Nothobranchius furzeri: one gene and its partners. The protein of the gene in region 2 interacts with the protein of the main gene of each other region in a biochemical or structural test. Links are inferred from orthologs where the notes say so. Each region holds a gene or a part of one and is shown on either strand. Other genes may lie near its edges.

Evidence for each region.
Region 1: of the proteins of ccnb1 (region 2) and zc3hc1, one has a biochemical effect on the other in vitro, tested with the Homo sapiens proteins (3 studies listed by BioGRID, with this or other methods). The link is inferred for Nothobranchius furzeri from reciprocal best matches to the Homo sapiens genes CCNB1 and ZC3HC1.
Region 3: of the proteins of ccnb1 (region 2) and B-cadherin, one has a biochemical effect on the other in vitro, tested with the Homo sapiens proteins (3 studies listed by BioGRID). The link is inferred for Nothobranchius furzeri from reciprocal best matches to the Homo sapiens genes CCNB1 and CDH1.

What each region holds. Positions count from the first base shown.
Region 1 is NC_091741.1:47,412,106-47,415,860, forward strand, and holds the start of zc3hc1 (zinc finger C3HC-type protein 1), read right to left. Parts: upstream 2,529-3,755; 5' UTR 2,488-2,528; coding exon 2,363-2,487; intron 1-2,362. UniProt on the Homo sapiens protein: Required for proper positioning of a substantial amount of TPR at the nuclear basket (NB) through interaction with TPR.
Region 2 is NC_091746.1:73,743,163-73,746,917, forward strand, and holds the start of ccnb1 (G2/mitotic-specific cyclin-B1), read right to left. Parts: upstream 2,226-3,755; 5' UTR 2,114-2,225; coding exon 2,093-2,113; intron 1,871-2,092; coding exon 1,742-1,870; intron 1,224-1,741; coding exon 1,113-1,223; intron 1,030-1,112; coding exon 682-1,029; intron 593-681; coding exon 356-592; intron 286-355; coding exon 145-285; intron 1-144. UniProt on the Homo sapiens protein: Essential for the control of the cell cycle at the G2/M (mitosis) transition.
Region 3 is NW_027223037.1:4,224,081-4,227,735, reverse strand, and holds part of B-cadherin, read right to left. Parts: intron 1,782-3,655; coding exon 1,693-1,781; intron 852-1,692; coding exon 633-851; intron 1-632.

The DNA of each region.
Region 1 (3,755 bases), on a different chromosome or scaffold from region 2:
GAGCAGCATTGTGCGGCCTTGCAGCCAAGCCGCCCAGCATTCATGCGAGGCTGTAGTCATCCTGATTGCCTGTGGAGCTCTGAGGAAGACCACAGAAACACTGCAGGTCTTTGAGTTGACGCTGCTTCACTTTAGAGTTGCTCAACTGCATTCTGAACCACCTGTAAACGGTCCGGGGAGGTTTTGCTCAGACAGGTGAAAAGCGAGTTGCAGTAGAAGAAGAAGAAAATATAATTTCTATAGCGCCTCTCAAGATGAAAATCACGAGGCGCTTCACAAAATAAAATAAAAAAAAGTTAAAATATAAAAAAGCATTTAGAAAATGTTTAAAAATATATTTAAAATGAGCAAAAATAGGCATTTGGGATTTAAAAGAAAAAATGTTAAGAAAGAGAGAGAGTGAATAGGAAAGAGGGAAATCAGTGGATCCTGAGGAAGGTGGAATAGGTGGGGAGAGCAGAATAAAGAGAGAGTGGTGAAGAAGGTCATACAAAAGCCAGCTTGAACAAGTGAATCTTCAGCTGCTTTTTAAAGGAGACCACTGAGTCCACTGATCTCAGGCTCAGGGGGAGAGAGTTCCAGAGTCGGGGGGCCACAGCAGCAAATGATCTGTCACCTTTGGTCTTTAGCCTGGTATGTTGCACAACCAGTAGGCTTTGATCACTGGACCTCAGGGACCTGTTGGGGGGGTAGGGACTGAGAAGATCACCAATGTAAGATGGTGCTTGTCCATGTAAGGCCCTATAGACCAGAACCAGGATCTTGAAATGAACCCTGAAGTTGACTGGCAGCCAAAGAAGCTGGAGGAGAAGCGGGGTGATGTGGGTGTGTTTGGAGGACTTGGTCAGAAGCCGAGCACAGGCATTCTGAACCACCTGTAGTCGGTTCAGGGAGGTTCTGCTCAGACAGTTGAAAAGAGAGTTACAGTAGTCTAAGCGTGAGGAGATGAAGGAGTGGATAATTGTCTCAAGTTCAGAGCGGGACAGAATGGGACTCAGCTTAGCAATGTTCCTGAGATGGAAGAAGGAAGAGCGAACAAGAGAACTGACATGAGAATCCAGGGTGAAAGCTGGGTCAAAGGTCACACCAAAATTCCTGACAGAAGGTTTGGTGCGGGAAGCAAGCTGACCATGAGAGTCTCTGACTTTGGGAACCAGCTTGCACAGATGAGGATCTCAGTCTTATCTTCATTCAGCTAAAGAAAGCTCCCAGCCATCCAGGTTTTGATAGAGTCTAAGCAGGTGTGTAACAGCTGCAGCTTAGACATCTCATGGGGCTTAAAGGACATGTACAGTTGGATGTCATCTGCATAAACATTCCTTTGAAGGAGCGCAGGATGTGAAGAAGAGGAAGCAGATAGAGGAGGAAGAGCAGAGGCCCCAGCACAGAACCTTGTGGGACACCATGGGTAAGAGAGGTGGTGGAGGACCTAAACTTGGAGACGGCCACAGAAAAGGAGCGCTCAGAGAGATAAGAGGAGAACCACTCCAGAGCAGATCCTGATAGGCCTACCCAGTCTCTCAGCCTCTCCAGTAGCAGGTGATGGTCAACAGTGTCAAATGCTGCAGTAGTCTAAGCGTGAGGAGATGATGGTATGGAATGCAATCTCAAGTTCAGAGCGAGACAGAATAAGACTGAGTTGGAAGAAGGAAAAGCAGCAAGAGAACTGACATGAGAATCCAGGGTTAGAGCTGGGTCAAAGGTCACACCAAGATTCCTGACTGAGGGTTTGGTGGTGTAAACTCAGAGTGACCGATCATATTTCCAAAATAACAAGTAAAAAATGTTTTCTTAATGAACTTGGCCTTTAACACTTTAAACTTTTTCTTTAAGTGCTGCCCCATTTGCTTTTCCTCTTTTACCTACTGATTACTGTAACGATGCTACTGCTGGAAACATTCCCAAGGACTTATGGTTAATCTGGGTCTAATTTTACTAATCACAATAAAACATTGTTTTGTTGCTCCGCCATTCCAAAGAAACGTCTGCTTCTTATTGGTCGATGTTCAGTGTTTTCTAAAACTTATTTTATGCACGTATGTAGATCTGAATTATGAAGTAAATCTAAACCATCTTACCACTTTCATAACACTTCCTAAACTGCTAGACCCGAATGCCTGGTGCAAGTCTGGTAAATTGAAGTTGCACATCTGAAACTTGTCTCGTTATTACAGTGGTATGCACATGAATGCTCCCAGTCATGTCCTTCGGGCTGACAACTATGTCTGTGCAGACCTGAAACTCCTCCTGCAGCAGAACTAAGAACAACTGCTAAAATGAGAGGCTAGGCTACTGCGGCTAACTCAAACGCCGAACGAAACCCCGTATTTAACAGAAAACGAGGTCGTGTGCAAACAGGTACCTGTTGGAACCGACATCTGGTGAAGATACTCCCTCACTGAGAAGTTCGCGAACTTTCTCTGGAGAAGTGAGAAAAGCTTTATGTTGATCTGAATTACCGGGACGAGCACCGTCGTGCATCGCCATTGTCGACGGTTCTTCTTCTTCTATTTTGACGCTGCCTGTGGAATTACATCACTTCCGTCTCTCGTAAACAGCACTGTCCCCAGTGGGGGAAAAGCGCTACAATCCCAAAAGGGAAATTGATAAAACACATTTAAATTTGTATTTATGAAACAGGATCGAACACGATGATCGTAATGGAATCGTGGCAGTTGTTCCAGAGCTGTCAACTTGATGGAAACACAAAAACTCAACGATTTAATATCTGGCTTTCGAGAGTGGTTATCCCCCTTTAGCGGATGTAAACTGTTACTACAGCATTTACATAAAGCTAAACAAGGCATAAGTAATTAGCACTTTCTATAAATTCTTTCAAAATAAGTTATACTATTTTAAAATTTCCAAGATTTTAAATTAGTGCAAGTAGTCTTTATTACGGACTCCAATTCACAAGAAGTCGAAAAACATTGTACAAATAAGATAAAATGAAATGAGCACACACAATAATACCACATTTAGTCTAGATAACGAGAAGACATATGTATTCACTTATACAAACAATTAGCAACCACATAAACTCATATATATATATATATATATATATATATATATATATATATATATATATATATATGTATATATATATATATATATATATATATATATATATATATATATATATATATATATATATATATATATATATAAACTAGGTAGGAAACTACCCACTAGCACAAAATATTGGCCTTGTGTTTTGGTGTTTTAGAGGCCAATGTACGACATTTGGGTGACTTTGGGGTGAATAACCCAAAATCATGATGGTTGGGTAACTTTGAAGTAATCACCCCAAAATCATGACATTTGGATGACACTGAGTTAAAAAAACACAAAGTCATGATATTTGTTTATTTTTTATTTTTTTTATTTATTTATTTATTGAACATGCATGCAAATCAATAGACAACCCAAAGCATTCAAAAAGTCTCCAAAAAGAAACCCACACATATGTATATGCATATATACACATACACACATACACATATACATACATACATATATACATATATATATATATATATATATATATATATATATATATATATATATATATATATATATATATATATATACATATATACATATATACATATACATATACATACACATAGACATGTAGAACATGTTCAATGGGAAGGGAACGAAGCTCTGGTAGCTTATATAATCCCCCCCAAATCAAATTTCAAGAAAGACAAAACAAAATTATATATATTTTCCCTACACTGAGTGTCATT
Region 2 (3,755 bases):
ACGCATTTATATAGTTTATCAGAAAAAACAGTTGATTTGGGGGTGACTTGCTCTTTAATGTTCGTTGCATCAGTCGGAGTAGCCATTAGCCTGTGATGAACCCATTTTAGTAACACAGGAGTATTTTAAAAATCGCATACAAACCCATTCGCCTGCTTCCAGGACCTTCAAGGTGAACGCCAGAGCAGCACTGGCCACCATAGAAGGAGGGAAATGAACCATCTCGTAGTCCATCATGGTGAGCTCCAGGACGTATTTGGCTAGAGTGTGCTGCTCCGCCGTTACCTGTGGACCAAAGGCAGAAGTCAGCAGACAAGTCACTGAAGATCAGCTGGACTTTAGCCTCGACACAAACCTCATAGATCTTTGAGGCCCTTCTGAGGAACTGCAGGGGAAGTGGTCGGCCAAGCTGAAACTTCAGCTCTCTCAGAATGGTCATCTCCATGTCCCGGATCTGAGCAGTGGTGTAGGCCCGGTCCGTCACATAGGCAAAGTCCGAGATCTCCGGAGGATACATTTCCTCATATTTGGAGGCAAGGAACATGGCGGTCACGCCCACTAGCTGCAGCTGCTTCTTGGGGACTGGATGGTCCTGTTGGAGACGCAGGAACGTGCACATTTAACACCTTTAATCTCTACACGTGGATACGTCTACCCACCGACGACGAGCGTGGGAATTACCTGAAGAAAGCGATCGATTATTCCAACGGTCATGTACATGGTCTCCTGCAGCAGACGGAACTTGAGGCTCACTTGCACCAGCCAGTCGATGAGGATGGCCCTCATATTCCCGGTAACCTCCTGACCCTGTAGGTAAGTGGGCCTGACGTTCTGCTCAACCTCCAGCTGACGGAGATACTTGTAGATGTCCTTCACATATTCACTGCAGAGCATGGGATTGTCATAGTCGTCCGCATCCACGTCCCTGACAGCGGTGTGGAGCAGGACGTCTGAAAACGCCTGGCAGAGATCAGCGGGTTTGCAGCTAGACGTCTCCATCGGAGTGGGCGAGGTGGGTTCAGGCGGCACCTGGAGCAGAGGAAGTTCAACACGTTTTACAGGTGCGTCAGCGCATGGATCGAATCAGGATTTAAACTAATCAGATGACTCACCTGAACTTCAGGCTCAGGGTCAGCAGCAATGACGACCGGAGGCTTGGGCTGTTCCACCTTTACCGCTTTAGGTACAACTTCAGGCTTCTTTGCAGCATCGATCTTGACATTCTAAATCCAAATATGGTCGTTGAAGCCCCCATGGAGAAATTAAATCACCTGGTGCTTCACTAGAGTTAAACTGAAGATTATACAGTCTTGACAAGTTTACGCAGGTACGCTAAACAGATCCGATTACCCACTTTAAAGTAAGCATCCCTAGTGAGGCAGCCAGGCTGCATCCAGGTGAGTCACCAAGGCTAGGGCGGGGCTTTAAGAAGGTGACATGTCCAATGCAAGAGTACCTTCTAGGTGGATGTGTGCATGAAAATGGCTTCTTCCAGGCACCGGGGCTCTGCAGCGCCCCCTACTTGAACGTGTTATTATGGGATTAAAAAAAACCTTTACCTGTCCACCACTTTATTTAAATAGCACGTTAACAGCAGCATGTCTGCTAGCATGTGCTCTACATGTTAGCAGCGCTTTAAAAGAAAATGACTTCATCACATCGAGTCTAAAGTAGACGCATGAAGTTCTCACGTGTGAATATTATTAATACCATAAAAACTCGAGTATTTAAAACTTCTCACCTTTTTCTGAACCTCTTTGTTCAGCGGGACGTTTCCGATCTCACCAAGCGCGCCTCGAGGCTTCTGCTTGGGCCCGTTCATGCAGGCCTTCCCTCCTCCGAGCTCGGTTCTGGTAGAACCGAGCCGAGTCTGCAGAGAAACAAAAGAGTCCTTTAGCCGCTGCTGCATGTCGTTCATCTATAAACACAAAATCCGCTTCAGGTTTGACTCTGAACTCTCAGCAGGACAGTGCCTGAACTGGTGAGGTACACCGAAGCACGGAAGCATTTTAAACGCTAATACTAATCATTCGACATGTTTCTAGGCGTGTTTACGCGGATAAAGAGCTGTAAGACCCGACTAAAGACTCACTCTGGTCACTCGAAGAGCCATTTTCAAGTCTGCGTGGTTCCGACAAGCAGTGAAAGAGTCGTAATGCCGAGCGAACGAGTTCAGCTAAAGACTCGCTGTCTTCGTTTAAATCCTCGTGCGCTGCAAGCTGATTCGCTGCGCTTTGACTTCTCCGAGCATCTGATTGGTCCATCAGGCAGGCAATGAATGCGTTTCCTAGACAACGTACGATCACGTGACATCCTCGTATTTCCTTTTCCTGTTGCGTCTTGCTATTTTCTCTGTTTTCTCCTGCTCGTTAGTCAGTGAAACCTCGATATAAATATAAATAACAGATCAGTATGTGTCAGTTTATAATTAGACCGCCATACACATTCATTAGCTTTTTATCAGCCTCTTAATTAGTTTATTCAGATTTGCTACTCACTTGTAGGTGTTTTTGAAACCACATGCTGTTTAAAAGTAAATGATTGTTCGGGGAGTGAAAACCAGTGCTTCCAGTTTGGCTCGTGCCTCTCATGTCTGAAATAAACCACAGCTGTTGATAAAATAGTAAAACTTGGGACTAAAAGATGCTTTCAAACAATGCACAAACATTTCGAAATACAAAATCACGATAAAATATTTTTGTTTTATGAGCAAACGTAAAAGTGAACATATGAATTTATTTTACTGAGAAAAATGTGTAGAATATTGCACACTTAATGGTTTAGAGAGTGTTTAGAAAATCGCAAAATAGACTTCTATGTGAAAATAGTAGAAACCTTGTAGCTTGCTCGTGTATTTGTGAACTTTTACAGAAATATGTACAGAAATGTCTGCGGACCCACATGGAGAGTCGTGATTAACGTTGGACGATGACAGGTGAGTTCCTGAGCCTGAATGTGCTGCACCATGGACGTCACTAGGATTGAGATATGGGGGGGCTTAGCCCCAGGAGCTTGACCTTGAACGTTTTTTGTCACACCCTGCAAAAACTTTGTCAATTAATTCATTATATGAAGAACATTTAACAAAACCTATTATTTCATCACTTTCTTTTCCTTTCCTACCTTTGTGCATTTTCTCTCTTCTTTTTATAAAAATAACACTTAATCAGTTAATTAGTGGGGTCTATGTTGAAGAAAGATTTTATGTAAGTCCATTAAAAATTAGATATGTTATATTTCCAAATAAAGCTATTCATTTCAGTCTACTGCACTTAACAGGGGGAAATGTTGTAGTCATTTATTTAATTTGTTGAATTACAACTTGTTTAATTATAACTGTTACTGAAATGTGACAATAAAGAACAAATGAATAATTGTCAAACTTTTATTCTGCCAAATGAGTGTGCAGTTGACAATTTTAATATATGAATAACACTGCTATGATATGGAATAAAGGAGTGTGTAATTAACTATTACAAGACAAAATAACAGTATATTAAGAGCCCACCCCATAATCGAAGGATTGCAGATTCTAGCCCTGTCTGTTGGTGTTGTTGTTTCCTTGGACAAGACACTTAACCCGTTTTGCCTGCAGGTGGTGGTCGGAGGGACCAATGGCACCTGTATACGGCAGCCTCGCCTCTGTTCGTGAGCCCCGGGGCAGTTGTGGCAACATCGTGGCCAGGGGTGGACTGGGACCAAAATTTGGCCCTGGCATTTTTATGAACCGTCGGCCCTCGGTAGGGGAGGTTGCT
Region 3 (3,655 bases), on a different chromosome or scaffold from region 2:
TGTGGAGGAATGTGTGTACAAGAGGCCACCGCGTGAGTCATAAATCAGGATTTTGACCGTTCGCACGAACATTCTAAATTTTGTTAATAGGAAGGAATTTAGGAATATTTCTACAGACGTTTGATGAATGAGGGCCCAGGTTCTAGGAAATGGTTATTAAACTTGCTAAAGCTTCAGAAGTTAGTAACAGAAACAAAAACAGGTAGCCAATATAAATCTGCTAAAATAACTGACATGACCATACAGAGACCAGCAGGTGTCAAGACACAGAAGTGAGGCTTTAGAGGGAGAAAGATTTTAGTTTTGGTAATCTGACACGAGGATGTTTGCTTTCCGACAGTAAAAACAGCCATGAGGATCAAGAGAACCGAGAGAATTGCTCAACTCTTCAAAACATCCCCTAAAATAATCCGTTTCATCTTGTTTGTGTTTAAATAAAAAAAAAGGGGGGGGGGATGATAAATGTAATGGGAAACAATGACAAAAGGATGTTGTTCTAAATATGGCCACAGGGTGGCGGTGTCTTAACAGTAACCTCATCTGTACAAAAGGACAGAAGAAATTCAACAGAAACTATCTGAAAGCTCGTTTATCAGAGGAAACTTATGACCCATCTGGTCTTCTAAGGATACCTCTGGGTTTGCCTCCGAGCCTTCTGGGTTTGCCTCCGAGCCTTCTTCTGTACAGTTCTGGTTCTGGGCCCCATGGTGATGCTCCACATTCTGCATGTTTCCATGGTGATGCCCCTGACGCAGCAGCTGGACAGGAACAGTCATTTTCTTGCCTTGCGAGTCCCAGGAGTGGACAAAAAAGTCCCATTGTCCCTCGTGAAGAAGAACCGGTCTCTTTACCTGCAGGAGAAGGCCAGACTTCAGCAACAAGCCTGGACTCAACAACACTTAGAAAGCTTGAATATGCCAGATGTCTAACACAAAAAGGGTTTAGAATGTCTTAAATGGTTTGTTTATGAAGCTAATTTAAATTTTTCATTAAATTCCAAACTGTTAACATCTTTTTCTTCAATAGTCCAAAAGAACACTGTTACTAACAGAAAATATGCATCATCCACAATAATGATGGGAGCCGCAGTTAAATGAAATGTCTGAATTCATATTTTCACCAAAGTATCTCAAATATCTTCATATTTTCTACAACCAGTGTGACAGAATTATGGTTTAATCGTCCACCAAAGCCCTGGTCCACATTTCTGTAACAGAACTGACCCAAAACACCAGAACATTCAACAGGTCTGAGATGAACACTAAAGTGACCATGTGTATTTTTCCTGGCGATAGGGGGCAGTAGATACCATAATCATTGCAAGCAAGCAGACATCAGTGGATGCCCATCAGGGTCAAAAAGCCCTGGGGAGATCAAGCTTTAGCAAAATAAGCACATCAGACGCCCTTTCATCAGTGGCAACAAGTGAAGAGGTGAATGTGTAAAACACGTACGACCAAAGTTTTGTAACCATCTGTTACAAATCAGTAAATGCATTTTGTCCACATGGGCTCCCATGTATTTTAGACCTGATTTGTATGGTTACATGTTACAAAAGCCGCCAATATTTTTCAACAAATGGGCATCTTTGCATTCATTTAACAACATTTTGTTGGATATTTCCAGAAAGTAATGGTAAAAACTACACATCGTCTCTTTAAATAAAAACCTGAACAGAAGTGCTTCACTCACAGCTAACGTTCCATCTGAGTGCACAACAAAACGATTGTCATCAGTGGTGAAAAGGAACCTGGTTCGCAGCGTGCAGTCGGAGAAGTCAACTGAAAAAGAACAGAACAAGTCATTTTTATTACAAATAAACACAGAAAGGAAAGAAAAAGCCCGCAGTAACTGGCAACCTGCTGGAGACGGTCACCTGAACAGCCTTTGTTTGGAGAAATATTCCTAATCCTCTCTTCAACAACTAAGCACTTTTGGTGCATCCAGGGACTCAGCAGAAATGTTGTATTTATGCACCAATCAGTGACTGCAGTTTAAATCCTGGGGCACACCGGAGATAGACAGGCGCGATAGTTACAACATCATGCGGGACTTGGGAAAAGGAAGCGGGATTTGACTATTGCTCATACGTGATCAGACTTGCCGTCGTGTTTTGTTAGACTAATTCAATAAAAATAAATAAGCATGCAATTTATTAGAATTTAAGATCAATAGTACTTTGAAGTTATCAAAGCTGCAGCTGGGTTTGTGCCGTAAAGCCGTTCCGCGTCGTAATGTCTGTTGTAAAGTACCCCACAATGTCGTAAACAGCCACGGCGCCCATTTTCAGTGCCGCGCTTCTGGGACGCGGCGCTCCTTGTGTTTCCACTCATCAACTATACTGGCTTCTATTTAAAATGTCTCCGATGTGCCCTAGGCTGTAAGATTTATAAAACTGTGTGAAAGGTTCTAATTTACTTTTTTTTAGAATGCTAGCATTCAGACTAGCCATTAGCTCATCCACTCTGAGAGCCATTTCTCTAAACAGAGGCTTTATAGACGAATATTTAAGACTTACTAAGGAACAGACTTCAAAATGCATTAAATAGTTTCATTTTGCCTGTTATAAATTAGTATTTCTTCTTTTAAGTCAGGTGTGAAAAAACATCGTTAAAACTGCAAAAAAGGAATATTAGGCTTCAAAATCTCATCATTTACTGGCTCAATGAAGAAAGGGGTCGGACCTTTGAACATTTTTATTTTTCCCAAATGTAGTGGGCTAGATGACTTTCCTCCAAGAAAGTACACATCACATTTAAGTCATCGTGGGCCACAAAAGTTAGATTTTTCTTTATTTTGAAAACCCAAAATTATTTTTTTACTGCTCAAAGACAGGCCTCAGTAGCCACGTTTATATGCGCCAAGTTTCCCCAATCCGATTCAAATCCCGGTTGATCGGAAATCCCGAATCTGTTCAAATGCACACTAGCAGTAATGATCCAATCATGCCATGAGTTTATATGCACTAATTATTCAGATTAAATAGGTTGAGCATGCTCAGAGTTTTCTTTCCCGGAAAAAAAAATTGTAAACGTCATGAAACAAAATGAAAAATGTAAAATCAGAAAAAAACAAATCATCTTGTTTTTCTGATTCATTTAATCAATTTAATGTCTTTATTTTGCTCATAGAAGTTACGTTTTCCTCCATGAATAATTGCAGCTGTATGCTTTGCTGTGTTTTATTTTTAACAATATGCCTTTGCCTCTTGCGGGGGGGGGGGGGGGGGGGGGGGTATTCAGACTCATTACCGATTACTGATTTTTATATCACTTCCACAAAATGCAAGTTCTGTCTTCTGGATTAGATATTACAGAAACGGGACGGCTTGCCATCAAATTAAAAAGCTGGCGCTTGTTGTCATTTTTTAAGTCAGGTTGTCCAAATGATGGCGGGGAGGCTTGTTGGGTGTTGCACAGGCACAGTGGGTGTTACTTTACTCCAACAATCTGAATGGCTGTGTACATGCACGTCAACCGGAATGAGGATCGGACAAACTACCTCTCTATCGGATTGAAATTTCATACCGATCAGGCCGAATTGGATCAGAACTTTCCGATTGACGTGTTTATGTGCAGAATTTTTGATCTCATTGGGCGTTCAATCCGATTAAATGTGTGCATGTAAACGTGGCTAGTGATTAAAATTAGAAAAT